Alligator mississippiensis: one gene and its partners. The protein of the gene in region 3 purifies or fractionates together with the protein of the main gene of each other region. This does not show direct contact. Links are inferred from orthologs where the notes say so. Each region holds a gene or a part of one and is shown on either strand. Other genes may lie near its edges.

Region 1 (7,457 bases), on a different chromosome or scaffold from region 3:
ACCAATAGAGATTTTTTTGGGCAGATACCAATAGCTGATTTTTAAGGAGGCATATCGGCTGATACCAATCTGATTTCCGATATGCAACCCAGCAGCTTGAAGAGCAGTGTCCAGCCGGTAAGTCTGTTGTAGTGCAAGAGGACGGGGAAGGGAAGGGTTGGGGGGGGGGGCAGCAGATTGAGACTCCTGTGGTGAGGGAGGGAGTGACGCAGGGGCTGTGGCAGGGCAGGGCAGGGCATGGGATGAAGCTGTGGCTTGTACAGGGGGTGCCAGGGGGGTGGCTCCTGCCACTGCAAGCACCCCAGGAGGGCATGGGGGGGGGGGGGGGGTGCCCCACGGATCTGCACATGGGGAAGGCCAGGCCAGGCTGCTCCTGCAGGCTGGGGCCAGGGGCTATGCCAGGCTCTTCCTGGAGGGGACTGGGCTGAGCTGTACTGGGGCAGGCAGCAGTGGTACAGGGAAGGAGGTTGGGGGGGAGGGTATGGCGAATTTTGGCATGGCTGCAGCACCTCCCCCACCCCCGTAGACCCTTCCCAGCACTGCTGCCACCCGCCCCAAGCACAGCCAGCCCCAGCCCCAGCCCGCAGCAGCCCTTGCCCTTGCCCCACATAGATCCAGGAGGTACACCCCCCATGCCCTCTTGGGATGTGCACAGTGGTGGGAGCTGCCCACCCCCCCGCACCTCCTGGATGAGCCGCAGCTTAGTCCTGAGCCCCACTCTGCCCCAGTTGGGCAGCACTTGCCCCAGCCCCAAACCCGCCCTCACTGCGGGGGCCTTGATCTGCCCCTCCATACGCCTTCCCTTCCCCCTCCCCTTCCACCACAACAGACTTACCAGCAGGACACTGTTCTTCAAGCTGCCAGGCTGCATTTCGGAAATCAGATCAGTATGGACCAGCAGGTCTCCTTAAAAATCAGCTATTGGTATTGGCTCCAAAAATCTGTCTCCCTTGATTGACACAACTACAAGAATGCTTTGAAGATGCTGAGCTAAAGGGTATAAAAGAGGAACAAAACAGCTAACAGGCCACACTTCAAGAATGAGAAATCATTCTGACAAGAACTGCTACCATGCCCAGCTGATCTGGTGAACAGATCAATGCCTTGAGAAGCTGACAAGACTGAGACCGCCTCTTTGGCTGTACTGGTGAGATACTAACACTTTTACAGCTAAATATACTGGACTTTGCTTTTTTTTAAGGTTCATTTAACCGTGAACAGTTGCATTCTGAATAGTCCTGAATCCCATTTCATAACTTAACAGGTGCAGCTGCCGGGGCTGAGGTCCACGTGCTCAACAAAGGGAGAACAATGCCCTCTAGTGCCTACAGCACAAGGAACCAGACATCTGCAGGCAGCTCTGTGGCAAAATCTCACTCATCCCCTCTTGTAGGCGGGGCATGCCATTGCCACTGCTGAATTTCCTGCGTGCTCTAAGCTTCCAATCCAAACAGAGCCCTGGCACTGCTGTAGGCCAACTTGTGGTGCAGTGTCACAGAGACCCTATGCAGGGGGATGCTTGCTCAGGACCAGTGCAGCCTTGCCTAGTCTCTGAGAACAACCCCTGAAGCCAGACCAGGTGTGGCTTTGAGAACAACTGAGGAGGAGTCAACTTCCCACTCCAAGACCCCCGCCTTTCAGCCTCTCACTCTCTGGTTCTCTGTGGCCCTAGCTTAACAAGATGGCATCCAGTTCCTCTTCTGAGAGAGGGGCTTTACCTTTTAATGGGAAGAACATGCATAACCTGTTTCCAGCCTTGACTCCAAGGCCAAGCTGGAGAAGTGTGGCTGAAGCAGAAGGCCCTGAGGCCTATTTCTGCATGACCATAGAACAAACCTATGCAAACATAACAACTAACTTGGTCAGCAAAGGAAGCAATCAGCATGTCCAGTTAAGCCAGTAATGACATTTAACTGAACAGAGTAAAAGGCCTGAATATTAGAAAGACTTTGAGGTAAGTCTGGACCATGGAGTCTTTCTCACTCAACTTGCCAACTCTGACCTTGATTCCTACCAAACCAGGACCCTGCTATAAAATACACTCACTTCTGCCCCTCTCTTGCATATTGCTTCCTGTGGGAAGCTCCCCTCCATTTACATGCCTCCCCTCTAACCCCTGGCTCTTTTGTTCAGCTTTTATTTTCCACTGCTCCACATCCCAGCCCCTTTATACAGACCTGGGCAAAACAGTTTGCCTAGGCCTCAGTTCCCCCCCAGGCCCCAGTTTTTTCCATCTCTATAACTGCTACAAAGTAGTACATAAAGCAGATATGTTCCATTTCAGTTGTAAGCATGCTAATAACATTTAGCGAATTATGCAAATCTATGTGGTGCCATATTTTAACCATATGTGTATGATAAAACTTAACAGAAGTTCCCAAAAAACCTCCAAGGCAGGCCAAAAGAACCAGAGTGCTCATCAGCTTTTTTTTAACCTTGTTCGTATGAACTGTTTAAAGTGCATTGGCAAGGGAAGAAGTTAATTTATGGACTACTGAGCACCACCTAGTCTAGGAAGATCCAATTAATGGCAAGACCAAATATAAGGAGGCTCCTCTGTTACATTTCTCAGTGCTAAATCTTGGCTAATTTACACCTTGCAATGACTGCTGAGGAACTGGTTTGAAATTGCTCTCAGGGGCATTGGGAACAAAGTAAGTTTTTTAAAATGTATAGTCCTTTAGCTGAGAATATAAAAATTAGACCTTCAAACACTCCAGTTGGAGACTGTCTTTTGAAATAAATGTAGCCGTTAGCCCTCTATTCTGACCTCGGACAAAACGGAGAACTGAAAAAAGCTGGGTAAAGAAGCATATGCAGTATACCTTCCTATACATCTTTCTGTTAAAAAGACTTATTGGGCCTGCACTAAAGTCTATTTTCATTTGCCTGAACAGTCTTCTAGTTAGTTAAAAGCCGACAGGCAAATGGCTCCATTTAGCAGAGTTCAACTGGTTAACAGGCTGATGATCGCTTGCCTCAAAACCAGGCTGCCCACTAACATTTAATGACTGTCCTTAGTCTGTGAGGGATATGGTGGAGGTCTTGTCCACCAAAGTGGACAATCATTTATGGCAGGGGTGGCCAACCTGCAACATACGAGTCATTAATAGCACAGACAGCCCTTCTGTGCGGTAAAAGGGAGATCAGGGAGGGGACAGACATGAGTGGAGCTAGGATTTTAAAAACAGGGGTGCAGACAGTGTGGGGAGTTCTTCCATATAAAGCAGTACTTAAGTTTTCTCCAGGTAAAGAGAAACAAGACGCTTTACTAATGTACTAGAGACGTAGGGATATATTATTCAGTTTAACATTAAAGAAAAAAACAAATATAACTTCACTGGAATGGGTTACACATTGTCTGCAGATCTCCATTGTCAGGAGCAGCTGACAGGAAGCAGCACCGCAGAAGAGGAGCTAGCTGGATTGGTGGAACAGGAAAGACCCTCAAAAAGGAGAGGGCTTTGTTCCCAATGCCCAAGGAAGAGTTTAGAAGGAAGCAGGTAGATTTTAATGAGCCATGAATTCAGCTGATGCTCTCACGGCAGCTCAAATGGAGGCGGCTGGTTTGCAATTTGGCTGGAGCAGGAATCAAGGAAGGGTGCAAGTGCACTACTGCACTGCCTCTGGAGAGGGCAGGGAGCAGAGCAGCAACCTGGGGACAGGAGGGTGCAGAGCTAATCTGTGGCCCTGCCGCGGGCAAGGCAGCCTCCACCAGCCAGCGCGACCACACTGCCCAAGATAACAGCCAGGACTCGCACTCTGATGGGGCCAGGACGCATGGCTCACATCAACCCCCCCGGCCCCAGGTCAGCTCCAGCTATCTCCAGCAGCCAGCGCCGCCCACCGTGCTCCCGCCTCCCCGGCATCGCTGGCTGAGGTGCCAGGTGAGACGATGCCCCTCAGGGCAGCAGGTGCTTCTCGACCAAACTGGGACTAGGGGCATCACTCCCAAACTGGGCACCAGCCACTGCTCAGAGCCGGGCCTGCGCCTCCAGCCAGGACTACGCACCCCAGGCCCAGGTCTCGCTGCCCCTGCCTGGGCCCAGGCCCTACTGCTCCCCGCTGCCACAGCAAGGCCGCGCCGCCCCCTGCAGGCCGCCGCAGGCTCCTGCACCCTCGCGGCACGCACTTACCAGCAGCCCGACAGAGCGCAGCGCACCTGCGCCGGAAAAAAACCCGCCCCCCTCGAGGGAGTCTCTCTGATGGCAAAGACGGTTTGGACGGACAGCGCAGGCCGCCAATAGGATATGAGGAGGCGTGGCCCAAAGGAAGCGCTATCCTATGGGGGAGGGAGGAGAGGCCGGAAAGGAAACTCAGAGAACGAGGCTAGACCGCCCGCCCCCGGCAGCTGTCCCAACCAATGGCGAGGGGGTGAGGGGCGGGGCCGGAGAGGGCTGTGCCCAATGGGAGGGCGCGGGGCCGCGGCTCGGGGCGCCACGTGCGGGTGAGCGGGGCTGGAGCGGGGCCGGGGTCGGCATGGCGGCGTCCGGCAGGAAGAAGCAGCAGCAGCAGGAGGCGGCGGCGGTGGCCGCGGCCGCGGGCGGGGCCGGGCGCAAGCGGCGCAAGGTAGGACCGGCTTGGGCGGGCTGGGGCTGGGGCCCGGGGGGCGGCTGCCCTGCCCGGCACCGCGCTGACCCCGCGCTCGGTCCGCAGCTCCCCGGCGCGGAGGAGAAGCCCCGGCAGAAGGTCGCCGCTGCCAAGCTCAACGAGGAGATCTCCAGCGACTCGGACGTCGAGAGGTAGCGCCGCGCGTCCCCGTGCTGCCGCGGGCAGGGCAGGGCAGCGCTGCGGCCCCCGGGTGGTGCCGCCAGAGAGGGGGCCCAGGCCGGGCCGTGCCCGCGCTCTTGTCCCTCTCCCCCGCCCAGGGTACACGCTGCATCCTTGGGCAGGGGCTCCGCAGGTCCCTTCCAGCCCGGCTTCTCTGCGCCCCGGCGGGAGCGTGATGTGAGAAGCCCCCAGGCGCAGGGGCGGGCGGCTCTGCCCCGAGCCCGGTCCTGGCTGCTAGCGAAGCCTGGAGAAGCAGCTACCTCCCCTGTCGAGGTTGCAGCCGGGGCTTGATTCCAGGCCGGGCTCTCGCGGGCCCTGCTGGGTGGAAGGGGGTGGAGGAGACTTTCAATGTTGGGCCTGAGCACAGGGTGCTGTGGAAATGCTTCCCCCATCAGTTTGTAACTGCTGACATGACACCTTGGGTAGAAATGTCCTCTTCCTGCATTTTAAAAAAGGCCAATGGGGATATTTATATACTTCACACAGCTGCTCTGTGCTCGAAGGTCCCTCTTGGCTGGGCATCAGGTAGCAAAGCATGTCTGGAGTACAGTCAGTATGAGTAGAGAGGGGAAAATTATTCCTGTGTGTAATTGTCCCCTTTCCTTGTCTGCTGTTTCTAGCCCTGCGTTATCTGGGAAGCGGAAGAGGGACAATGAGGCGGAAGAGGAGATCGAGGAGACAGCTCAGGAAAAGAAGCTGAGATTAGCCAAACTGTACTTGGAACAGCTTCGTCAGCAGGGTGAGCACCTGATAAGCTGGGGGGCGATGTGGATGGGTGGTGTAGGGGGTGTTAGGGGAGAGTGCGCTTAGTGAGCCGCTGTCTGGCTGTGGCTCATCCTTGGCTTATACATGGGGAAAGTGGTCTTCTGTGCTACTTGGAGATGTTGTGCTGGACTGATCTAACTTGATGAAACTTTCTATTGGAAACAGTCGGTATACAAAGATGAGGCTGTGTTCCCCAAGGATTTCTCAGTCTGAATTGTTTGATCCAAATTAATCTATGGCAAAGCATAGTTTGTTAATTCAAACTGTTAATCATGTAAAGGAAATAAGATACGGTCTCTTGTGTATTTGGTACTTCCTTCTTTGCTTACTTTCCTGAACATGGCACTTCACTGTTGTTACACAGGTATAAAATGCAAGGCTTGGTTTCTATACATCACAGCGGTTGTGCTGCGTGCGGTGCTTGAGGAATCTGAAGGGAAAGCTCTTCATAGCTATGATGTGGAGCCTGTTGTAAAACAGTCAGTATTTCTCCCTGGAACAGTCTGGCATGGAGGCACCTCTTTCTTTTCCTAGTTTCTGAGTGCTTCTCTGTCCAGTACTACATCCTCGTTCTCCCTCTCTGACCAGACCCTAGGTTACTGCACCCTGCGCATCGGCCATGACTGTCTGGGCTGTGATTTGGCATGTGTGGGTTTCTCTTTGGGAGTCTGAGTAGCAGTGAATAGACTGACCAGGTAGCTTTAAAATCCAAGTACTAGGCACAAAGCTATTCGGACAGTTTTAAAACGGCAGTCTGTGCACATATGTAATACAATCCCTTTCAACACCAGCAGCTGGCCAAAGCTTGCAGTCTTGTAGGCTCTTCTGGAGTCCAGGGTTTAGTGGCATGGTTTGCTTGCAAGAATGTAGAAGTCTAACTAAGCAGAAGGTTTTAAACCATCAGAGACGGGCTTGGAACTGTTTGCATTGGAGAGGTTTACACAGAGCTCTATCAGCTGGGGACACAAGGCTCATACCCTGTAATAAAGGTGCACTGGTATATTGGTGGCATATCGGATTGGGATTGATTAAAAAGAAAATCGATGTTATTGGCAATCGGCTTTTTTTGGCCGGTATAGCTGATAATGTCACCGATTAAATGCCCTGTATGTATGCACAGTTGCAGCATGCACGCGGCCAGGAACACAGCCTTGCAGCTTGGAGAGCAGGCTTCTGGCAATATGTCTGTGCAGGAGGGAAGGGGCATGGGTGGGGGTGCAGATCAAGGCCCCCACGGTAGGGGAGGGAGTGGGGCAGGAGCTGCAGGCAGCTCGTTTGTGGGGTGGGGCGGTGGGGCACCTCTCTGCTTCTGTGTGCACCCCTGGTAGAGTCATGGGGAACATGTACCCTTCCCCCCCAAAATATGTGCACAGAGCAAGGGCAGGCTACCCACAGCAAGGGCCTCTTCCCAGTGAGGAGGCTGGGCCAGGGCTGTGCTCAGGGTGGGGTGGGCAGGCATTGGTGGTGCTGGGAGGGGGGGGCTACAGGGTGGGCTACAGCCACCCCAAAACTCACCATAACGCACCCCTCCCAATCACTACTGCCTGGCCCCCCTCCCCCTTGGGGAAGAGGCCAATGTAACCCCTGGCCCTGAGCCCACAGTGGGCATCCTGCCTTTGCCCTGTGCCCGAATTGGGGGGGGGGGGGCATGCCCCCCCAGGGATGCACGCAGCAATGGGGAGACACCCACTCCTGTGCCCCTCTGACAAGCCACCCATAGCTCTGTCCTGTGCCCTGCCCCATTTCCTGCCTTCACTGGGTGGGCCTCCATCTGCCCCTGCCATGGTGCCGCCCCCCCCCCCCCCCCCCCCCCCATGTATGCTGGATGCTGCTTTCCAAGCTGCCGGGCTGCATATAAGCTATCAGATTGGTATTGGCCAATATGTCTGGCTAATAATCGGCCCTTGGTACTGTCCAAAAAA
Region 2 (7,835 bases), on a different chromosome or scaffold from region 3:
AAGAGCCTTTATGAATGTCTTATTCATATTGCATGGAAGATTTTTTTATACATCTACTAGGTGGACTTTGAACATTTTTTTACAAAACAAAATCTTTGCTGTAGATAAACAGATATAAATAAAAATGTATTGTTCTCTTCTCTGTGTGGCAAGTGTGATGGGCTAGCTGGTAGTTATTTGGCCCAGGGGTTTTGAAAGGGATGATTGGAGGGCTTGGGATTCCCTTTCCTCACCAATCAAGCTCAAGACTCCTCCTCCATGTCCCCTGACTGGCACCTCGGGTCACCTGGAGGGGGATAAAAGGGGCAGCGCAGCTGACTCAGGGAGACCAGTGAGGGACCACAAGGAGGGAGTTTCAAAGAGCTGGCCCAGGGGAGCAGGAGCAGTTGCCCCAGAAAAACCTGAAGGAGTGGGACCTGCAGGCAGCAGTTGGACCCTAGGCAGTGTGACGTGCAGCCAGCAGGAGAGGCTCCCTGCTGGGCTCCAGGATCCCCCTATGAGAGGCTGCAGCCAGCAGGAGAGGTTCCCCAGCTCCAGCAAGAAGCTGAGCAGTGACCCGAGAGGTTCATAGCTCTGCTTCCAGATCCTCCAGCGAGAGGCAGGGCAGCTTGACATGAGGTAGGGGCTCCTGGAAGGTCAAAACCCCTAGCAGCTTGAAGCTGTCTTAGCACTGGTGGCTGTGTGGTAGCGTTTCTACCTACCATGTAGGATGTCTAAGTTCATGTCCTAGCTGGGTCAAGTAGGGATGAGTGAAGTGACAGGGGAGAAATTCTTGTCACAGTGGAAGGGGGTCATTGTATTTATCCCTCTTTTCACCCCTCCAGCTACCTATGCCCTATATCTCTTGTTATTTGGTGTTTTGTATTTTGTGCATTTTATATTTTGCCAACCAGTATTGTTTGTTGTGCTGTTTGTGTTTTATACTTTGTTAAACCTGTCTTTTGCCAACTGGATGAATATGTCTATGAATGTAAATGCCTAACCTTTATTGAACCTGCCCCCTCGGGACATTGTACTGTTCCCTATACCCCCTGGTTTATATATATATTATGTTCCCACTACTGTTTTTCTCATTAAAAGGTATATGGTAACGTCCCCACTGGTGATCTGGCTCTGCTGTATAGGGGAAGGAGGGTCCCTATACCTCACACAGCTCTCATGCACCAGCTGTGATCCCTTCAATTGGAAAGGGGGTATGTCTTGAAGTACTGCCTGCGTTACACAAGTTTTGCATCATATCCCCTGAGTCAGTGGTGTTCTCAACCTTTTGATTCTCTGGGAGGGATGAGTGGTGCAGGGTCGCTCCATGAGCCCAATCAGGTCCTGGACACCAGGATTTGGTCCTACACCACTCTGGCCCTGTGCTGGAAGATCAGGCCCAGTGTGCCTCTGCTTTTGTCCCATGCTGCCAGATGAGGCTCTGCACTGCTCCAGGCCTGCAGGTCTCTCTTTTGCCTTATGCTGCTGGATCAGGCCCCACACTGCCTTTGGCCAGTCCCTGTGCACATGGATGAGCCCTGCACCGCCTTGCCAACCCATGAGCCAAGACCGGGCCTGACACCACCTCCACTTGACCCCCATGCTGCCTCTGGCCAGCCCCTGGGCCCCAGGATTGGGCCCTGCATAGCCCCAGCCCTGCATACCTGGACTGGCCCCACGCACCTGATCTAGCCTACAGGATCACACTGTCTAGCCTGTGGGTCTAGAAAAGTGGCAGCAGGGAAGGGGCAATTAATGCTGCCACTACTCCCCCACCACAAAATTTTAGGACCCATGTAGACAGCTGCAAGTCGGATGACTCAGTTTTGTGGGCAGATTTGGCCTGCTGACCAGGGGTTCAGCACCCCAACCCTAAGTTATTGTTTAGGTGCATATGAATGCACAAAAGATACAGACTGCACTAGGTTGGAAAAATGTGTCTTTTTCAGGCTTCTTATTTAGCTTTTGTAGCAGGCTCACCTTTCAGAGCTTGGGTTTAGTCCCAGGCTTAAGATCCTGTTTTGATTGGTAGAGCCCATCCACCGATCAGGAGGCATCAGGATAAATAAAGTCATGCCCCTTTCCTGAGGGGAGGGGGAGAGGAGCTCTCCCAGACTTGATAAAAGACTGTAAACTGCCAGGTCTGGAAGACTTTGGGGTGGAGCTCTGGAGTGTATAAAAGGAGCTGCATGCCCACCACGACTGGCAGATGTAGTGAGGGACTCAAGAAGAGTAGAGCCAAGGAAAGCTGGGGGAGCTCTCCCCCAGCAGGCAATAGGCCCAAGGCTCCTGAAGCCGCCACTGGAGAAGCAGCCTTGGGAGCAGTGCGAGACTGCTCAGGCTGTTGATGGTGTGCGAGGACAGTGTGGGAAGACCTGGCCCCAGGAGCGGTATGAGACTGCTCGGGCCCATCACGGTGTGTGGTTTGGTGCACGGAGCCCAGGCTTTGGGATCCTCAAGTGGCAGCTCAAGCCTGCATCCCTGGCAGGGCCAGCGGGCTATGCAGTGCACAGGGCAGTGCACGGGGCAAAGGCCTTGGGGCTGCAGTGAGGTGGCTCAGGCCCCATCTCCTGACAAGCAGCCAGGTCCCATGGTGCACAGGGCAGCACATGGGCCTGAGCCTTGGGAGAAGCAGAGGCTGCTTGGGTTAGCCACCTAATGTGAGGAGGGACGGACGGAGCCTGAAGGGCCTGGCCTATGCTAAGAGAGCCCTCAGTACTGAGCCAGGGCACGGGGAAATGGTAGTGCTGTAGCGTAAGACCCAGCACCCAGGAGCCAGCAGTGGTAGTGCAGCAGCTGAGAGGAGCTGAGCCCTCGGTGCCCAGAGCGGGGCACAGGGTAGGGAGGAGCCCAGCAGTGCAGGAGAGGCGCTTCAGCAGAGGAGACCCTATCAACCTGTGCCGACCACCACCACCTGAGGGAGCGTGAGTCATTGGGCCCTTGGGTCCCACAAGGGAAAGACATTTGGGGCAGGCAAACCCATAGAAGGGGCTGGGTGAGTAGTCCCCCAGCTAGTCAAGGCCCTAAGGGGAGGGGCCCCTGGTGCTTCCTGGACACCCCCCCCCCAAGGGACCCCATTGGAAGGAGGACTATCTCTTGCCATAGGTCAGGGACTACATTACGGAATAGGTGTTATTAAGATTGTTCATGTTGTTGAGAGAGAGATTGAGCAGGATTGCTCTCCAGTGCCCTCACTGTTGGACTTTGTTGATATTGTTGCTGTTCTGCTTTGTTGTTATAGTGGTATTGAGTGCTGATTGGGAACAGTGTTGGGACACAGTGCTGATTGGGATGCTGTTCCCAATAGTGCTGATTGTTGATGGTTGTTAATAATATATATCATTATCCCTCCTATTTGTGTTTGTATTATTGTTGCATAAGCTTAGGGTCAGGCTATAGATCTAGAGCTGGTGAGAGCAAGCCCCCACCTCTTTCCCCAGGGCTGGTTCTGCCTTGCACTTGATTAAGCTCCTGCCTCAGACAGCCGGTTGCACTAGACACCTTCCACAGGGCCCTTCCGGCCCCTCTGCATGGTGCTGTTACTCCAGTCCCACAGCACCCAGGCCCCAGGCACCTGCTGTAACTAAGCGGCTCCTTCCCATGCTCCGCCCTTGCGACTGAAGAGAACCTGCCAAGCCTTGATCCCACACAGCATTGCCAGGACTTAAATACGAAATTATCATATTGGAAGCTCAAAACTATTGTATCTTCTGAAAAACCATCATACCCTGAAAAAAATGTAGATAAGTATGTAAATAAGTCTTATTTACTTTATATTGCTCACTGTAACTAGCCAGCGAGGTGAGAACTGGGTCATCAAAGCAGAAGTATTTATTTCAAGGCAAGCAGTGAAAAAAGTCCCAAAAACTGGAATGGTGATGGGTGTGTGGGTACATGGTGTGAACTCTGTTCAACTTTCAAAGTGTGTTTTGGTTTGCTACAGGCACTGTTTCTCTCTCTCTCTCTCAGCATTTTTGCAAAAAACAAAACCAAACCTGAAAGTTGGTTAAGAGTCTGAGAGCGACTTGGGTTTTGCATATGCTGCATCAATTAATCGCCTCAAAAGTTATCCGACATGCAGGTTGTAGTCATATTGGTCTAGAGGCAAAAGGAACTGAAGCTTGGGAAGTTATATTTTTATCAGACCAACTAGACACTTGCAAACAAAGTATTGTATTTATCTGAAAGCTTTTGGGCACACCCACCCTTCATCATTTATTTTTTTTAATGAAAAGTTCATAATTTTACAAGTAGGATGCATTTTATCACCTGAATTTTTAACAGGAGGCTCCTACCATTGTTCGAGCAAATTTGCGTCTCCCAGAGCACAGGAACACTAATACCTCGCCACTTAAACTCCTGCCTAGAAGAGCTTTCCATTCTCCTGTGAACTATCAAACACATAACCTGAAGCAAACATGCCTCTACATCCAGCTTGCACCAGGCAGCTTTGAGGTGAAAAGACTGTTTCAACTTTTCCCTGTGCATCGCCTGTACAAGGTGAACTTTTCCAAGCAGGAGACTCCACCACACCTTCAGCTCTCCTGAGAAATATGAATTTCCATTTCTACCTAGAACTTCGCCACTCTCTGCTCTCTCCTGCCCTGTGCATGGGAACGGGTGAGCGTGCCCGAAAGCTTGCAGATAAATGCAGTCGTTTGTTTGCAAAGAGCTAGTTGATCTAATAAACGATATCACCTCTTCCATGAGTTTCGACACCTTTTAATATTAACTATCGTGCACGGGTTGAAAAGATGATACAAAGACAGTCATTACCGCGCGAGGGACAACGCCGACCGCACGAGCACGGCCCGAACCCCCCACCGCCCCCCCGTCAAGCTTCCGGTCCCTCTCACCCCGAGGCCGGATGTGATGTCACGACAGTGATGGCAGCCTCCAGCCCTGCGGCCACGTGGTAGGCGCCGGCGGAGGCAGCGGTGAGCGCAGGGCGCGGGAAGAGGGGAGGCCCGGCCCGGCGGCTGGGCCAGGGAAGGCGCGGGGTCCCGCTCCGAGGGCAGGACAGCGGGGCGGGCGGGCGGCTGCGAGCGCAGGCGGAGGTACCGGAGCCTGGGCCAGGCGGGGGGCGCAGGGCCCGGCCGCAGCCGCTTGGCACCAGCGGCCCCGAGCAGCCTGGCCCGCGGCGGCCTCTCGAGGTGCCCCTGAGAGCAGCTCTAAGGTTTGCAAACGTGGTTCGCAGAACAAGCGCAGAGACTGCCGCAGGAAGCGGAGTGTTCACTACGTTGTTAGTTTGTGTTTTTTGTGGCAGAAGATTGGGTCTGTTAGCTTTGCATACTAGAAAAAACCAAGTCGAAACCACTGTTGTCAACTCTTATGAGTTTACGCTTTGGGAATGTGAAAAATTTAGCTCTTTCTTTTATCTATATTTGTGTATGATTTGTATAGTGTGTGTGAAAGAGATGAGTTTTTCACATTCCCAAAGCGTAGACTTTAAGAACAACAACAATCATGAGAGTTGGCAACACTGCAAAACTGAGAGCTGGCGGTTACCAAGGGGATGAGTGTAAGGAGGGGAAACTGGAGCTTAAAAAGCTGCTGGTTTAGAGTCGGCCTTGCCTGGTTACTTAGGTCTCTTCTGTGGAAGCTCAGATTTTTTTGTTGGTCTCCTAAAAGATATCATCTCTATTACAAGTCCTAATTGCTTTTTCCTTTAGACCAATGCACCTACAACTTGGATACCAGTGCTAACAGTAACTTTCAACCTGGCTGAAGACTCGTCCATCTCATTGCAGTCAGTGGGAGATGAGTTGTAAAGAGCATGTACCCAGTTACCATTTTGAGTAGTAATTTCTTTCTTGGTCCCTTCCTCCATGTTTAATGCTTAATTGCTGCAGATTGATGCAGCAAATCACTGCTTTTCATGGGCATGTGTACTGCCCTGTTTTTATTTGTGCATGTCTCCTGGCTATTCTTTCACCATGTTACATATGTCATTTTGGGAGTTGAGCTGGCCAGTGTGTTTAGCATTAGCCAGCCTGGAGCTCCAGTGCTACAGTTGGCATAGGCAGCCTCTGTGTGGGCCATGACAGATCAGAGAGGGGACAGATAACACCACGGCAGATAGGGCAGGAAGAAGACAGCAGAGCAGGAGATGAAGCAGAGTAAGGGGATTGGACTGGCCATTGGAGAGTGTACAGAGCCCACATAAGAGCCCAGTATAAAGCTGTAAATCCAAGGTTTCCTTCCCATGCTCCCGCCAAAAGACCTTTCAGCACAAAGTGCTAAAGGGTCATGGTTAACAAAACGCACAACAGAGCTATGCGATGGTTTGTCATCAGGGTTTCTTTACTGCAGAGGTTTCCAGTGTCATTTTCAGCAAGAGGCTGATAAATGAGTAATTAAAGATTGTTTGTCAAATTGCATGCGTGCGTTTGGAGTCGCAGTTGTTCTTAAATGTGCAGATTCAAAACAAAGAGGGCCTAGTCAGTGGGAGCAGGACCAAGCCCATAGACTAAACTTCAGAGAAAACTCTAGTTAAGACTTGTGTCCCATTAGCTTTACACATAGATGGCATTATGCACCATCTGCAGTGCAGTGTTTATGCTATATGTTATATGAATCTAGATACCTTGTTCTGCTGATTTTTACAATGATTTCTTTTTCAATTGTTTTAGATCATGATGAAGACAAAAAAGGGAAATAAGTTTAGAGCTTCCTTTAAATCAAAACAAAGGGGTATCAAAGTAGTAGGAAAATGGAAACCTGTCGAAATCGACCCAAATCTATTTGCTGATGAGCAGCTTGGAGATCTGGTGTGCTTTGAGGAGCTTACAGATTATAAGTTAATGAATTCCTCTAAATCTGGAAAAGAAAAAGGCAAGAAGAGAAAATCTGATAGTGTCTCCGAAGAAGAGGATTCTACCATCCAAAAAAAAAAGAGAAAGAAAGGCAAAGGTTTGGGAACTAGAACAAATAAAAATGATCATTCTGAGGAGAGAAATGACGTACTCACTGATCAAGAAGATGAACCTAAAGATACCGTCACATTGACTGATTCTGAGGAAAATGAAAACAAAGCTGAAGCTGCTTTAAGCACAGAAAAAACTTTGAAGAAGAAAAAAAAGAAAGCATCTCTACCCCAGCAAGATCCTCCCCCAGCAAAATCTTCTAAGAAGCTTACAAATTGGACAACTCAGGTTTTATCTGCATCATCTGATCAAACAGCTGATGTGTCTGCATGGAAAGACCTCTTTGTTCCAAAACCAGTTCTTCAGGCCTTGAGTTCTCTCGGATTTAGTGCTCCAACTCCTATTCAGGCATTAGCTCTGCCTTCTGCAATTCGAGATCATATGGATATTCTGGGCGCTGCAGAAACAGGTACAAATGCACACAGCTAGAACATTAAGTACATTCACTGTCACCTTTCTCTCTCTCTCAAAAATGCAGTGTATTGTCATAATTGTAATCACAGGATAAGAACCTGTAAGTTACAGTCCATCCAGTGAACTAGGAAGGGAATGGCTGCAATACAGAAGATTTTACTTTACAGATGAAATATACTGCATTTGTTTTGCATACTAGGACATTCACATGTACAAAGCTTTAAATCCTCCACATAATTTTGTCTGGGGAATCAAATTATATTTGATGCACTTTTTTAAAACTAGGTCAGAGCTCCCATTACCTCAAAATCAGAGATCTGTCAGAGCCTGAGGCTCCTTTGCTGGCTTTGCAGATCCACTTAAGGAAGTGAGGGCCAATCTCTTTCACTGGTATGCCACAAGTTAAGCCCTACACCCTCCCTGAGGTACCACTCTAGTTGCCTCCCCCTGCCCAATTTTTTGCCCTATTTTCTGCTCCTTGTCCTATCTGCCCCTGTGTTCCTTAGTCTGTCCCCA
Region 3 (7,199 bases):
GCCTAGCTGGGATTGGGGCCTGACCAGGCCCTGTACAGATCCCTGGGCCAGAACCAGCCCCATGTGCAGCTGGGATCAGAGCCCACCATGCTGGACTCTGAACAAATGTGTAGTGAGGGAAGATCCTGGAGGATCCCACTAGAACTAGGGGTCCTGGCTCTTTGTCCAGGGTTAGCTGTCATAGCATCATAGAACATGAGGGTTGGAAGGGACCTCAGGAGGTCACATCGAGTCCAACCCCCTGCTTTAAGCAGGACCAGCCCCAACTAGATCATCCCAGCCAAGGCTTGTCTAGCTGGGTCTTCAAAACCTCCAAGGATAGAAACTCCACCACCTCTCTGGGTAACCTGTTCCAGTGCTTCACCACCCTCCTAGTGAGAACATTCTTCCTAATATCTAACCTCAACTTCCCTCTCTGCAACTGGAGCCCATTGATCCTCATTCTGTCGTCTGCCCCCACTGAGAACAGTCCAACTCCATCCTCTTTACAACCCCCTTCAGGGAGTTGAAGGCTGCTGTCAAATCCCCACTCAGTCTTCTCTTCTCTAGACTAAATAAGCTCAGTTCCCTCAGCCTCTCCTCATAAATCATGTCTCCCAGCCCCCTCACCGTTCTTGTTGCTCTCCACTGGACTCTCTCCAATGTGTCCACATCCTTTCTGTAGTGGGGGACCCAAAATTAGACACGGGACTGCAGATGTGGCCTCACCAGTGCTGAATATATTAAGGGGAGAATCATTTCCATCAATCTACTGGCCACACTCCTACTAATGCAGCCCGGGAGGCCATTAGCTTTCTGTCCTAACTCTTTGCCTCTCTCTCTATTTTCTGTCCCTTCTCTGTGGTGTGAGACAGTAGCACCATCCAGTCCTTTTGTCTCAGAAGGTTTCTTTTCCCTCCCTCCTCTGCCAGCGTTGTGGGGTCCTGAACCACCCCTCACTCCTTTCTGCTGTGGTCAGTGGCTCACTACATTCCTGCTTGCAGATAGCCTGATCCCAGGAGCAGTTCAGTCTGAATGCCAGCCACCAGCAAGTGAGAGAAGACAGCTGGTGACCAAGGGAGTTGAGACATGCCAGCCAACAATCACACCCAATGCTATGAAGGAAAGAACAACCGAGCCATGACTCAGTTTCCCAGGTCTCTACTCCACTGCCCAGGAGATTGTTCTCTCACAGAAAAGCATGTGAATACAGAAATTTGAATCTGAACTGTATCAAACTCCTCCACACCAAAGTGGAGTGGATGGGGTGGGAGTCTGGAACGTGCCCTAAGGACGGATTCTGAAGGGCCTGAGGCCTCACCACCTGGCAGCAAGTGTGTCCATGTATTCTCTGCTTTATGGAGCTGCTCTTGCTCACATTGCCAGATTGATAATATCCCAATAAAGCGGTGCACGGTTCAGAGGAACTTGCTTTGGATTTTCTTGTACTTCTCCGGATACACTCAAAGCCCCGAGAGTTATCCTGGTTGCGAAACTGGGAGTTCATTGAGTATTCTGCAACAGAAGAATCATTTTAGGATTTTCTTCATAGTCTAGAAATGAGTGAAAGTGAAGAGCTTTCTTTTTCCAAGGGGGCCCTGGAGTCTAACGAGAGGTACCTTTCAAACGAGGAAGCCTGGAGGTAACAGAGAAGGGCCTAGAGTCTAAAGAAAGTTGGGAACCATTGAACGAGTGCATCGACCGGGTCAGTGTTTCATAGATTCATAGATGTTAGGGTTGGAAGGGACCTCAGTAGGTCATCAAGTCCAGCCCCCTGCCCTGGGCAGGAAAGAGCGCTGGGGTCAGACGACCCCAACTAGGTGCATGTCCAGTCTCCTCTTGAAGATAGGGGAGAGCACCACCTCCCTTGGAAGCCCATTCCAGATTCTGGCAACCCTAACTGTGAAGAAGTTCTTTCTAATGTCCAGCCTAAATCTGCTCTCAGATTTCAACTGAACTCTCTTCAGTCAGTCGGAGGGCACTGCTCTTTGAGGATCCCGAACTCTTCCCTGGAATAGTGATCTCATGCTGTTGGATAATTAATTAAAGGGGAATCAGGCTTAGGTTATTATTTTGTATGCTCAAGCCTGGGGGGGGGTCTCAACGGATGATCTGGAAGGTCCTTTGGGGAATGTAGCAATGATGTTTGGATCACAGAAGCCAACAGCTGGACTTTCTCCCTGGCTATATTATGCAACTCTTGGCCTGGCGCTCTGCTGCATATTGGACCAATCATTGCAAGTCTTTGGCTGGGCTCCACTTTAGCAGGAGCTATTCAAAGAGCTGCCCAGACTCGGTAGTGGTGTAGAAGTATGGACACATGACATCTCATCCCTTAACCCTACCCTGCCTTGCTTATGTGGTGGGAGGAAACTCCCTAAAGTTTGTTATTTAGCTGTAATAGGTATCAGACAACGCGGGTAAAGAATTGACAGCTATTTATTTGTTCGAGCAAAGATCATAAAGCCAGCAAAAGGCAAAATGGCCCCCCCTAAAGGGTGGGGCAATTTTTTATACTTTTTATAACAAGGCAAGACTACAGGGTTAATAAAAGCAATACTTACTTGGGTGGTGCTTCACAAATCTTTATAACAGCATATTTTTATTAAGCTGAACTAGCATTTTTTAAAAGCTAAAAGTTAAGTAACAGTAACATTATGATACGTTAGCAAGAATTTGCAGTGGTAGATGCTTTTTAAGGACACGATCACTGTATTTAGAACAATGACTTTTTTGTCTTATCTTGTTCCTTGCTGTAGCTGATTTTACAGCACAGACACAGATTCACTTGCTGCATTTTACTCAGAAAATGCTTAACACAGTTAAAATGATTACTTGACACAAGTAAAGGCTTAGCTATCATTCTGCCTTGTGGTTAGCGGCATTGCTAGGCCACAGGTCATGCCTTATATTCAGCTGCAAAGCTAATACTTCTTAATAATCTAAATTATTGCTAACCTAACAGTATGCTATCAGAAAACTATTCTCTTTCAGGGGAGTAACAAACATGCTCACTACACGGTAGACAAATGCCATCAACTCCTACGTTGTGGTAACTGCCTTGAATCCAACCAGAAAGCAGAGCAGCCGATGGGGTAGGGAGCACAGGGCAGGGAGCAGAAAGCAGAGCAGTGGAAGGGGCAGGGGGCGTAGGGCAGGGAACAGAAAGTAGAGCAGCGCGTGGAGCAGGGAGCGCAGGGCAGGGAGTGGAAAGCAGAGCAGTGGATGGGGCAGGGAGCACAGGGCAGGAAGCACACAGCAGAGCAGCTGATGGGGAAGGGAGAACAGGGCATGGAGCGGAAAACGGAGCAGTGGAAGGGGTAGGGAGCACAGGGTGGGGAGCAGAAAGCAGAGTGGACAGACCCGACACCATGTGATGTCACAGAGAGGGCTGACATCACATGCGAACGGCACAATGTCACAGCTGATATGGGAATCTGACATTGGGCTGAGAGCTGAGTACATGGGACATAGCAGAGACCCGATGCCGTGTGACATCCCAGAACTGATGTCATATGGCAACGCAGAGAGAGCTGATATCCCAAGAAATATTTGATGTCACGTGATACCCAACAGCTGATGGCATAGGACATAACAGATCTGACGCCACCTGACACCGCGGAGAAAATGGCCTTCCCCAAGAGACCTTTCTTTCATCCTATGACATCACAAGGAGAGGTGACATCACAAGAGACACCTGACATCGTGGGACATCCCAGAGAGCTGACACCAGAGAAGTGATGTCACAGGACACTGCAGAGAAAGCTGCCTCTTCTGACAGAACTTTTGTCCTATGACATCACAGAGAGAGCTGACATCACAAGAAACATCAGCTATCATGTGACATCCCAGAGAGCTGACCTCACGGATCTGACGTCCTTGCATGACACTGCCTTCCCTCAGCCACCTTTCACCCTGTGACATCACAGGAGACACCTGACCTCCCCCAGAGAGCTGACATCAGACAGCACAGATCTAAAGTTGAGAAAAACTTTCATCCTGTGACGTCACGGGGAAGGCTAACCTCACAGTCTAGCACCACGTCACACCCCAGAGCGGTCCAAAGACAAATTACTTGACGTCACAGGGAGAGAGAGAGACAAATGTGACGCCACAAAAATCGCCCCCCCTCCCCCGCCCCGCAAGCACGTCCTCTGGTCTTTCCGCTGACGTCACCGCGGGCCGCGAAGCCAACTTCCGGTGTGGGCGCTCCGGGCGCCCGCGCATGCGCATCGCGCCCCGCGCCAGCCAGCACCGAATCCAGCGTGGTCCGGCCCCGGGGAGCGCACGTGGGAGCATGAGGCCCGGTGAGCGCGGGGCGGGGGGGGCGGGTCCTTGCAGCTGCTGCCGGGGGGGGAGCCCCCCCACGCGATCCCGGGACGCCTGCCTTCTCAGCCTTGCGGGGGGGGACTGTAGCTGGGCAGCCCCCCCAAGCTCGGAGCCCCCTATTCACTGGGGGCAGGACTCCGGGGTTCCGGGGGGGGGGCTTGGATCAGGTTGGGGTGGGCAGCAGACTGAGGGTGTGTGGGGGGATAACACCCCCCAGCTGAGCCCCTCCCCCCCAGTAAGGATAGTTGATGGGGCTTGGAGGTGGTGGGGTACTGGGGGGGTCCTTATATGTCTGGGAAGTCAAAGGGGCTGGGGGCATGTGGGGCAGGTGACATTGGGGGGACCTAGGAGTTGAGGGGGGAGCATTGGGGAGGGGGGCTTGCGTGAGGGATGGACTTGGTGGGGGGGAGGGGGGCATGTCTGACCTCCCCCCCTCCTTTCCACCCACAGGTTTCAGCCCCCGTGGGGGACGCGGCGGGTTCGGGGACCGTGGAGGGGGACGCGGCGGGTTCGGGGACCGTGGAGGGGGACGCGGCGGGTTCGGGGACCGTGGAGGGGGACGCGGTGGCTTCCGGGGAGGCAGAGGTGAGTTACATTCTCCCCCATCCACTCCTGGTTCGTGCTGGGAGAATCTGGTCAGCTGTCCCATCAAGCTTTGGGGCAGAGGGCCAGGCTCAGGGGTTGCCCTGCTGTGGGACTCTGCTGCCCCCTCTCGTTTTCATCTTAGCCAGGCCCCACCCCACACTTCCTGTCCCAAACGGCTCCCCCTGCCCCTCCACTTCCTGTCCCAAAAGGCTGGGACCCCATTTACTATCCTTACTATCGCAAAAGACTCCCCCGTCCACACTCCCCTACTTGCTGCAGGGTCCTGCCCACACTGGACCACATCCTTCTCCCCCTTTTCTTTCCCAGGTGGCAGTTTTGGCCGAGGAGGTGTTGGCGGCCGAGGAAGAGGAGGGCCTGGCCGGGGCGGCCGTGGTGGGGGGCGGGGTGGGGGCCGGGGGGGCTTCAGAGGGGGCAAGAAGGTGACAGTGGAGCCCCACAGGCACGAAGGTACTGGAGTCTGGGGCAGGGGCTGGCGCTGGGGGGTAGGGACACCTTGGCGGGGCTTGGGTTGGAGCCTGGGGTGGGTGGGACCATGGGGGGGTGCTATTCTGGCTCTGACCCCCTCCCCATTCGTAATCCCTTCTAGGGGTCTTCATTTGCCGGGGCAAGGAAGATGCACTCGTGACCAAGAACCTGGTGCCGGGCGAGTCAGTGTATGGGGAGAAGAGGATTGCGGTGGAGGTACGCAGAGCCTGGGGGGGAAGGGGATCAAAGGCGGGTGGAGGTGTCTGGATGGGAGTGTCAAGAGGGATGTGGTGGGGATGGGGATCAGGATGGGGGCATTGGGGTAGGGGGAGGTTTGAATGGTGGTGTCGAGGGGGCTGGTTCTGGGAGGGGGGCCCCCAGTGGTTATGTGGGGGGCAGAAAGGCTAGGCTACTGGGTCCCAGAGGGCACTGGGCACACCACTTCCAGGGGCCGATCCAGGAGGCATCTTGGTACCCAGGAGTCCAAGCTGGGGTGAAAGGGCCCTCAGAAGGCCCCAGGGGTTGGGGAAAGGTTTGAGCAGACTCCCTCCCCCCCAGCCCTGATTTGTTCCCTCTCCCACCGCTGGGCAGGATGGCGAGGCCAAGGTGGAGTACCGGGCCTGGAACCCCTTCCGCTCCAAGCTGGCAGCCGCCATCCTGGGGGGCATCGACCAGATCCACATCAAGCCGGGCGTCCGTGTGCTGTACCTGGGCGCTGCCTCAGGCACCACCGTCTCCCATGTCTCGGACATTGTGGGCCCCGTAAGTACTGGGACCCCCTACCCTGGATGGGGGGGGGGGGGGAGGCGAGGGGGCAAAAGGGATTACCCCCCCCTCCAGCTTAACCCCATGCGCCCCCCCAGGAAGGCCTGGTCTACGCTGTGGAGTTCTCCCACCGCTCCGGCCGTGACCTCATCAACGTGGCCAAGAAACGCACCAACATCATCCCCGTCATAGAGGATGCCCGGCACCCCCACAAATACCGCATGCTGATTGGTGAGTCCCCCCTAGGTCCCCTCCCCCCCTTGACTCCTCCTACCTCCCCCTGCCAGTCGTTCTCCCCTGGGGTCCGGCTGCACTCAGGGGGGCCCTGCCATTGGCTTTCCCCGGGGCAGAGGGGTGTCCTGGGAGCCCCCAGACTCCAGAGTCCTCTGTTGCTGTAGTGAAAGTCTAGCTGGTCTTCGGGTCTTTGTACTGGGGATCCTTGAGACCCCCTTCCCCCACCTCCCCCTGGACACTTGCGTTCTCTGCAGCCACTGCTGAAGCCTGACCAGGCACGGGGTCTTTGTATTGGGGCTCCCTGGGAGCCCCCAGACTCCTGGATTCTCTCCTGCTGCTAAAGTTCAGTCGGGCATGGCATCTGCCAGTCGGGGCTCCTAAGACCCCCCTGGATGCCTGGATTCTCTGCAGTCGCTGTTGAGGCCTGGCCAGGCTTGGGGTCGGCCTGTCAGGGCTCCTCTGGGGGCTCCAAATTCCTGGGTTTTTCCTGCTGTTACTGAGGCTCGTCTGTGCACAGGGTCTTCCTACCCGTGCTGTTCAGGGACCTGCCTCTCCCCTGACAACTGGGTTTCCTTTCCCAGTGCTGATATCACAAGACAGGTGGAGTTGGGGGGGGGTGTAGTTGATTTGCTGGGGGATCACAGCGTCCCCTGATCTCTGGGTCATGACTCACAACCATGCCCCCCCTCCAGGCATGGTGGATGTGATCTTTGCCGATGTGGCGCAGCCTGACCAGTCCCGTATTGTCGCCCTCAACGCGCACAACTTCCTGAAGAACGGCGGCCACTTTGTTATCTCCATCAAGGTAATGAGCATGCCTT
Region 4 (6,943 bases), on a different chromosome or scaffold from region 3:
GGGCAGTGTTTGCTGTTGCTGCTTACCCAGAGCTCACGCATGCCCTATACCACTCCATTCTGCCACCCAGCTTCATATTGGCGCTGCGTGGTTCTGGCACTGCGACCACTAGCAGCCAGACCCACACAGAATGAGGAGTGATGCAGCACACCAAGTAGCCATCCCACCTGCCCGCCACAATAAGCTGCTGCCACTACAGTGCCACTAGGAGGTGAGGCCGTGCTGGCCATAGACGAAGGGCTGGGGGGACTCAGTCTGGCGCAGCTGCCCCTGACTTTCCTAGTTTGAGGTAGCAGCAGCAGCAGCTCATCACAGTGAACAGGGAGGCGGGTAGGACAGCCACTCAGCGCACTGTGTTGCACCCTGTCCTGTGCTGGTGGCCACTGTGCCAGGACTACACAGCACCAACAGGTAGGTGGGCAGGAGGGGAAGGGGAGGGGAAATGGATGCAGGAAGACAAAGGAGTTGGCATGCTGCATGGTCCAGTCCAGCCCAGCCCACCCTTCCCATGCTCCTGGTGGCAGCCAATGGGCTGGAAAGGATCATTTGGCATCTTCCCACCCCTCCCCCCAGCCCTCAAGAGCTCATCAAAACTTATGTGGCCCTCCAACCCAAATAATTGTCCACCCCTGTGTCAGGACAATCTGGTGTGCAGTGGCACATCATCTAGCTCTTGGGGCTGCCCATGAGTCAGGACATCTGGTAGCAGGGGAGTGGTAATGAACACTGCCACCACTCGCCCTCCACCAAAGTTCTGGACCCTCGGGGATCCCTGCCCGCCAAATGATACAGCTATGTGGGCTGCTGGTTAAGCCCCCTGATGACAACTACCAGGGAACTGAAAATTAAAAGGATCCTTCCTTCATCAAACAGCAAGCTCACAAGACCCAAAACAAAACCAATATTAAAAGGTTTTCCAATACTGATAGTTTGTTATAATTATTTCTGCTTTCTGTGTTCTGTGCTGGATATAAAGACAAAAATCACATGAGTAAAGAATTCACTTCAGTGCTATCTACAGCACCTAAATGAAGAAACACAAAGATGACAAATGAGTACAGGAAGAAGCAAAAAATGTCTTTAAAAACCGTAAAATCCCTACCATTTAGCTTATTTGTCAGGGTTCAATATACAGATGAGGTTACTGACTTCCTACAATGCAAGGCATAACAAAGTCACTTAAACAGTTTGTGAAGACAGAGTTGAGACTGGTGCTACACAACAGGGTATGTCTTCTAAAACCCACGCATATGCATCAGAAAACTAACGTGCTCAGCCAGGATCTCCCCAGAGAATGAGAAGCAAGCAAATATTAAGAAAAAGCACATATCTTAAGCATACAAAAACTAAGTAGTATACTTTATGGTGCTACTTTACATACAACTGCATAATTTTAACTTAGCCCTTGCAATGAGTAGATGCAGTCTGAAATTCTTATGAGACATTCCTTAAAATTAGGTCAAAGGTATTTTGATTTATCAGAACCAAGAAGCCAGGAGGTCTATTCCCATCTGTTTCAACAAGAGACAATAATTTTCTCCATTACCTTGAAATTTAAGTGATTCATTATTCCCTCATGTGACACACAGGACAACCAAGAAATAGAAAGCATGAGATCATTTCTGGAAGAGCTGGGAAAATTTACATACCAGAACTCATCCACTATATGGCAATCACAACGCTTCTAAAAAACAGGACAGAACTGTGAGACCATTCCTTTGTGTCAGGAAAGGAATTTGGCTTGACCTGAACTCTTACACTTTTCTTTCCCTCCTTCCTCCCTTCCTTTTCTGCCCTGTCTTCCTGATTTCCAGCTATTTACTTTTTTCACAGACAGCCTCTCTTCTTCCTTGAAAATTTACTACTGTACAGTCTCCATTACTCAAGTACCCCCCTTTCCCTGCTCTACCTTTTTGTCTTCCTAATTTCCAGCTATTTACAGTCTCACTGACATCCTGTCACACTCTTAGCTTCTCTTAGCACACTTAGCAGCAGAGACTCCCTATGCCTGAAGAAGGGTGATTGTGCCCAAAAGCTTGCAAATAACTTTTTTCCATCTACTCAGTTGGTTTAATAAAAGATATCACATCTACGCAAAGAACCTATCTTAATTTGACATATGGCACTTCATAATGACAGACGAGATCCACAGAAGAACAAGCTCTATGCAAGTGCAAAGCAACATGGGAAAACAGAACGCAGTTACTCAAAACTGTACACCGTGGCAGCCAAAATAGTATACAGAATATTAAGCGTAGATACTCAAAACCATGGTTAGCAAGGGAAACCTGTACACATCCACACATACGTTATATGTATATGTATGTACCTAGCAGGAGTTTCAGGACACAAGTCTCTTTATATACAGCCACGCCTTGACGTCATAGTTAAAATGCAACTAAGTGAAAGGATGTTAAGCAAATCCAATTACATCACAATAGTTACCTACTAGCAGGTGGCGGCCAAACAACGCTATAACTGAATGATGCACGAGTTTAAATGAGTGCGCTCTCCAGCAGATCAGCGATGTAATAATGAAACAATGTAACTGGGATGACGTTAAGGGAGAAGTACTATAATACACACACACATATATATATATATATATATATATATACATATACATATACACACACACACACAAATATACATGTGTGTGTAGGTATAGATGTGTGGGTGTCTATGTGTACATCACACACACGTGTACGCACACACAACCCGAAGCAGAGGCAGGTGAGGTGCGAGTCTCTCCCGCTTCTGCTCTGCTCTGCTCCAGCCTCACTCCCGGCCGCGGCCCCGGCCCCGGCAGTCCGCGCGCGGTCGCGGCCAGGCCGTGGCGGGGCGGGGCGGGGCAGGCAGGGGGCGACCCCGCCGGGCGCTCACCGCGCTGCAGGTCGAGCTTGGTCTCGCGCACGTAGTCGTCCGGGTTCCGGCTCAGCACCTTCACCCGCATCCTCGCCCGAGAGCACGCAGCCCCGGCCCGCCACTCTTCCGGAGCGCAGGACCCACGTGACCGGAAGCCGGCGCAGACCCGCGGCGGGCGGAAGAAGCCGCTTGGGACGTTCCTCTTCCGCTTCCGGGGCGCGGGCTGCGGGCAGCGGCGCTATGAGCGCGGTGGCAGAGGCGGAGGGGCCGCGGGGCTCTACGTGCGCGGTGTCCGCCCCGCCCGCGCAGTCCCCGCTGCGGCACGTGCGCTACGAGAGCCTGGTGGCGGGGCTCAGCGGCGGCGTCGTCTCCACGCTCGTGCTGCACCCGCTTGACCTGGTCAAGATCCGCTTCGCCGGTGAGCCCCGGCCGCGCCTCCTAACCCACCCTCTTCTCTCTGCGGGGCCGGGGCCGGGCCGTGTCGTGTCCCCTTCCCCTGCAAAGCCACTCGGGGCTGGCCCGTCCCCCCACCACGCCAGCTGGCCCGGCCCACGGGCAGCCCGGGCACGGCCCGCCACGCACACGGGTGCAGCGTCACGGCCGTCGGTCGGTAGCTCGGGGGCTGCGCTGTGGTCCAGTCGCTCGTGTGCACGTGTTGTAGTCCTGCCCCGTCGCCGTGGGTAGAGACAGCATCCTCACGGTTCAGGCCCTGCTGAACCTCCTCTTCCTTTTCCCTCTCGAGTCAGACCCGAGAAACTCCTGGTGTGGGATCACAAATGCTGTAGGCAGCAGTGTTAGCTCTTGTATCGTAGCAGCGAAAGCGAGTGCCACAGCTCAGGGTGCACCAGGATTTCTGTTCTCACTGAACCTTATTGGGCTGAAACTTTAAGGCTGCTTATACACATGTTGGGGGGGACACTTCAATTTGAGCAGCTCCAAGAACTGCTCTAATTAAAGCGCCCGGAGCATCTTGTGTATCAGCGTCCTCATGCTCCAAAACGGCGGCGGGGTGCTTTATGTAAAGCTCGTTCCACGCTATTTGGAGCATGGGGACGCTAATATATGAGACTGCTGGAGTGTGGTAATTGCCACTTTCCGGCAGACTTAATTAATCAAGCCAGCTCTGATGTGCTGGAATTGCAGCGTGGTGGCACAGCCTCCCTGCTCTGTAGGCGCCCTACGTGCCTGCCTCAGAAAACTTGGGTAAAGTAGTTCACATGAGCAATTGGTGCCTCCTGAGTCTGGGAGGGGGCACAATTTGTGGGCAGACCCATGGGCAGGCCCAGGGGGCGGGCCAAAAGTCCCTCGGGGGCCCCCCATTCGTCGTTGGTCCAGATTGGGCGGGGGGGGGGGGGCAGCACTCTGGTTGGCCGAGCAAGCGCTCTCTGACACTCCGGGCTCCTGGGCACTGTCGGGGGGGGGGGGGGACCCCCCCCCACACCAGTTACCTGTGGTAGTTCTCAAATAGGAGAAAAGTAGATGCATCTGTGGGGTGGGAAGGGGGCAGGATTTACTTTTTCCTGTTGAAGTAATTTGATGCATCTCTTTTCTTAAATCACGTGACCCAGTCAGTGGCAGTGGGAGGGGGGAAGACCACCTGAATGCACTTACAAACACTGACTTTGAACGTACTGGGTCATGATACTTTGAGAATTATACCTCCGACACATGGTGCATATAACTGGGGGTTTCCTGCAAAGAACAAAAAAAAAACGTTCTTTTGAAATAACATTTTTGTGGTCCCCCTGCAAAAAGATTAAAGGTTATAGGCTAGAGATTGCACAGAGCTGTGGGGCACTAAGAAAAGGAGGCAGTTTTAAGCCAATGCTGCTACTTGCCTGCAGTACACAGCAGTAGAGTTCATCTTGGATTGGTAGGAAAGGACTGCTTACCTGGAACAGGTCAGCCAGACTTCTCCTTCAACCCAGGGTAAGGCACTCTCCTAATGAGCTCTTAGACCATAACTCTCGTGTGCCTTCAGAATACAGCTAGTCAGGCTTGCTTATTCTCTGCGACTTTCCTCAACTCTGCATGTTATCTTCAAGATAAACAGGGAGGTGTATTTGCATCATAGTTTTATGCCACTTGGCTTCACTCTTTCTAGAACATTGTTTTTCCAGTGTAATCTCTCTTTTATTCAGTGAGTGACGGATTGGAATTTAGACCAAAGTACAATGGGATTCTGCACTGTTTGACCACGGTCTGGAAGCATGAAGGACTACGTGGCCTGTACCAGGGGGTTACTCCAAACATGTGGGGGGCAGGTGCTTCCTGGGGCCTGTACTTTTTCTTGTAAGTAGAACCATAAAACCTTTGATGTTTTATGCAAAGTGATTGTGGACTGTAGGTCGCACTTTCATTTTGAGGGAGGTAAAAAGATAAAAAATACATTTTATGAAAGATTCATGCAGCTTTACAAACTATATAATCTATAGGCAGAACTTTCAGAGGCACCTAAATCACTTCTGAACATTTTACCCTCAGTCATCACTTGCTGTTTCATATCTTATATGTAATATAAATTGCTGGGTAGAGCAGCGTGACACACTTGTAAAGCAAATGCCTGCACAAGTTGCTGCAGAAATGTTAACTAGCTGCACTGGTAGTTTGTATGGTTTCATCCACTAAGAATCTTGCCAGAAGCTGCGCTATATAAATAAACCTTGTGGGGGAAAAGAACTTAGCCTTAGCCTGATTTGGGGGAATTAATTTGGCTCCTGAAATGATTTAGTCTGCTAAAGTTGGAAGCATTTAGTACTTGGACAAATCTGTTTTTGCAAGTTAGCTTACTTTTTTGAGGTAATTGTTGTTTTTTCTTTTGGTCCTCAGGGTCTTTTCAATGTCATATCACTTGCATTTTATATTTACTAATATGTAAATTACTTAACTCAAGGGCAGCAGGAAATCAAAGAAACCAGTTACTTGTTTATATGAAGTTGTCCTACTGGTTTTCTAGTCCTCATTCTTTTCTGACTTTCACTTCTCATCTTACTGCATATTGCTCACCTCTCAATGGCTTACTTAACCCAGAGGACCAGTTCAGCAGATAAAGCTGATGACAGTATAGACTGCCTTTTCATAAAACCTTGCTGGGAGACATCTGTCTTGTTAGCATTTCATCCAAACTAATTCTTCAATTTTAAATGTGATGAGGCAGTCCTATTTTTTATCAACAGTAATATTTTATTACCCAGCTGTCTACCACAACTCTGTGCTTTAAGTAGCCTGAAACTAATTCAGTAATTTGTATTGCATCTGAGATTGTTCACCTCTGCCTCTGCTCTGTAAGGGCATTGCTTAATGTTGAATCTAAGTGATCTGGATTTTTCTCATCTCTACTTAAATTTGTTTCATTTCTTCCAGCTATAATGCCATCAAAGCCTACAAGAAGGAGGAGAAGCTAGAAAGTCTTAGTGCAACCGAACACCTAGTGTCAGCTGCAGAGGCTGGTGAGGAAAATGCAGATAAGATTGACATTTACCTCTAGCCTGTCCATACGCTGTTTTTTGTCTTTGTCTGTCAGTGCTGTTTTTTGTCCAGGTGGCAAGTATAAGCGTTTCGGTCCAGCTGCACTGGGTTAATGCATGTAAATAAATTAATGATGTTGGGTTGGCTGGCCGAACTCCTTGTGTGTGTTCACCAGTAGCAACAGTTAAAACTTTTTACAGCCCCATGCAAGAATGAGCTAATTTATATACATTAAAATTGCAGATTCCAGACCAAGCAGCTGTGCATAAAAAGCAGAACTGTTGTCAGTTTTTGCTATAATGTTAAAGTTTACCTTGAACACTTTCCCCTTAAAAAAGACAACCCAAGGCCTAATTCAGCACGCACTGAAATCCAGCATTGGAATGGAATGTCTTCAATAGGCACTGGACTAGACATGTAGCCTATCTAATATTGAAGAGGAATGTATGGTGCAGCACTACTTGGAGTGGTCTTCCAAAGCTCCTTAGACTGACCTCTCAAGTAGAGAAACTTGTACCATGCGTTAGGAATGAAAAATTGATAACCACAGACAAGAAATCAGATTTCTGTATTTTGTTGATAGCCATGTATTAAACTAGGATGTAAACCT

What was found.
Region 1: the proteins of FBL (region 3) and RRP9 purify together in Homo sapiens (affinity purification with mass spectrometry; 3 studies listed by BioGRID and IntAct, counting the BioPlex papers as one, with this or other methods). This does not show direct contact. The link is inferred for Alligator mississippiensis from reciprocal best matches to the Homo sapiens genes FBL and RRP9.
Region 2: the proteins of FBL (region 3) and DDX24 purify together in Homo sapiens (affinity purification with mass spectrometry; 3 studies listed by BioGRID and IntAct, with this or other methods). This does not show direct contact. The link is inferred for Alligator mississippiensis from reciprocal best matches to the Homo sapiens genes FBL and DDX24.
Region 4: the proteins of FBL (region 3) and DCAF13 purify together in Homo sapiens (affinity purification with western blotting; 3 studies listed by BioGRID, with this or other methods). This does not show direct contact. The link is inferred for Alligator mississippiensis from reciprocal best matches to the Homo sapiens genes FBL and DCAF13.

The regions. Positions count from the first base shown.
Region 1 is NC_081835.1:46,777,661-46,785,117, reverse strand, and holds the start of RRP9 (U3 small nucleolar RNA-interacting protein 2), read left to right. Parts: upstream 1-4,441; 5' UTR 4,442-4,479; coding exon 4,480-4,569; intron 4,570-4,656; coding exon 4,657-4,742; intron 4,743-5,390; coding exon 5,391-5,509; intron 5,510-7,457. Other genes in the region: protein mono-ADP-ribosyltransferase PARP3, read right to left, coding at 836-871. UniProt on the Homo sapiens protein: Component of a nucleolar small nuclear ribonucleoprotein particle (snoRNP) thought to participate in the processing and modification of pre-ribosomal RNA (pre-rRNA).
Region 2 is NC_081825.1:277,182,196-277,190,030, reverse strand, and holds the start of DDX24 (ATP-dependent RNA helicase DDX24), read left to right. Parts: upstream 1-4,829; 5' UTR 4,830-4,916; intron 4,917-5,061; exon of another isoform or gene 5,062-5,155; intron 5,156-5,651; 5' UTR 5,652-5,739; coding exon 5,740-5,757; intron 5,758-6,611; coding exon 6,612-7,314; intron 7,315-7,835. UniProt on the Homo sapiens protein: ATP-dependent RNA helicase that plays a role in various aspects of RNA metabolism including pre-mRNA splicing and is thereby involved in different biological processes such as cell cycle regulation or innate immunity.
Region 3 is NC_081838.1:29,164,495-29,171,693, reverse strand, and holds the start of FBL (rRNA 2'-O-methyltransferase fibrillarin), read left to right. Parts: upstream 1-4,188; 5' UTR 4,189-4,204; coding exon 4,205-4,286; intron 4,287-4,758; coding exon 4,759-4,893; intron 4,894-5,220; coding exon 5,221-5,361; intron 5,362-5,500; coding exon 5,501-5,595; intron 5,596-5,970; coding exon 5,971-6,141; intron 6,142-6,242; coding exon 6,243-6,375; intron 6,376-7,070; coding exon 7,071-7,183; intron 7,184-7,199.
Region 4 is NC_081826.1:36,562,351-36,569,293, forward strand, and holds the start of DCAF13 (DDB1- and CUL4-associated factor 13), read right to left. Parts: upstream 3,014-6,943; 5' UTR 2,954-3,013; coding exon 2,884-2,953; intron 1-2,883. Other genes in the region: SLC25A32 (mitochondrial folate transporter/carrier), read left to right, coding at 3,106-3,283, 5,007-5,157, 6,229-6,314. UniProt on the Homo sapiens protein: Part of the small subunit (SSU) processome, first precursor of the small eukaryotic ribosomal subunit.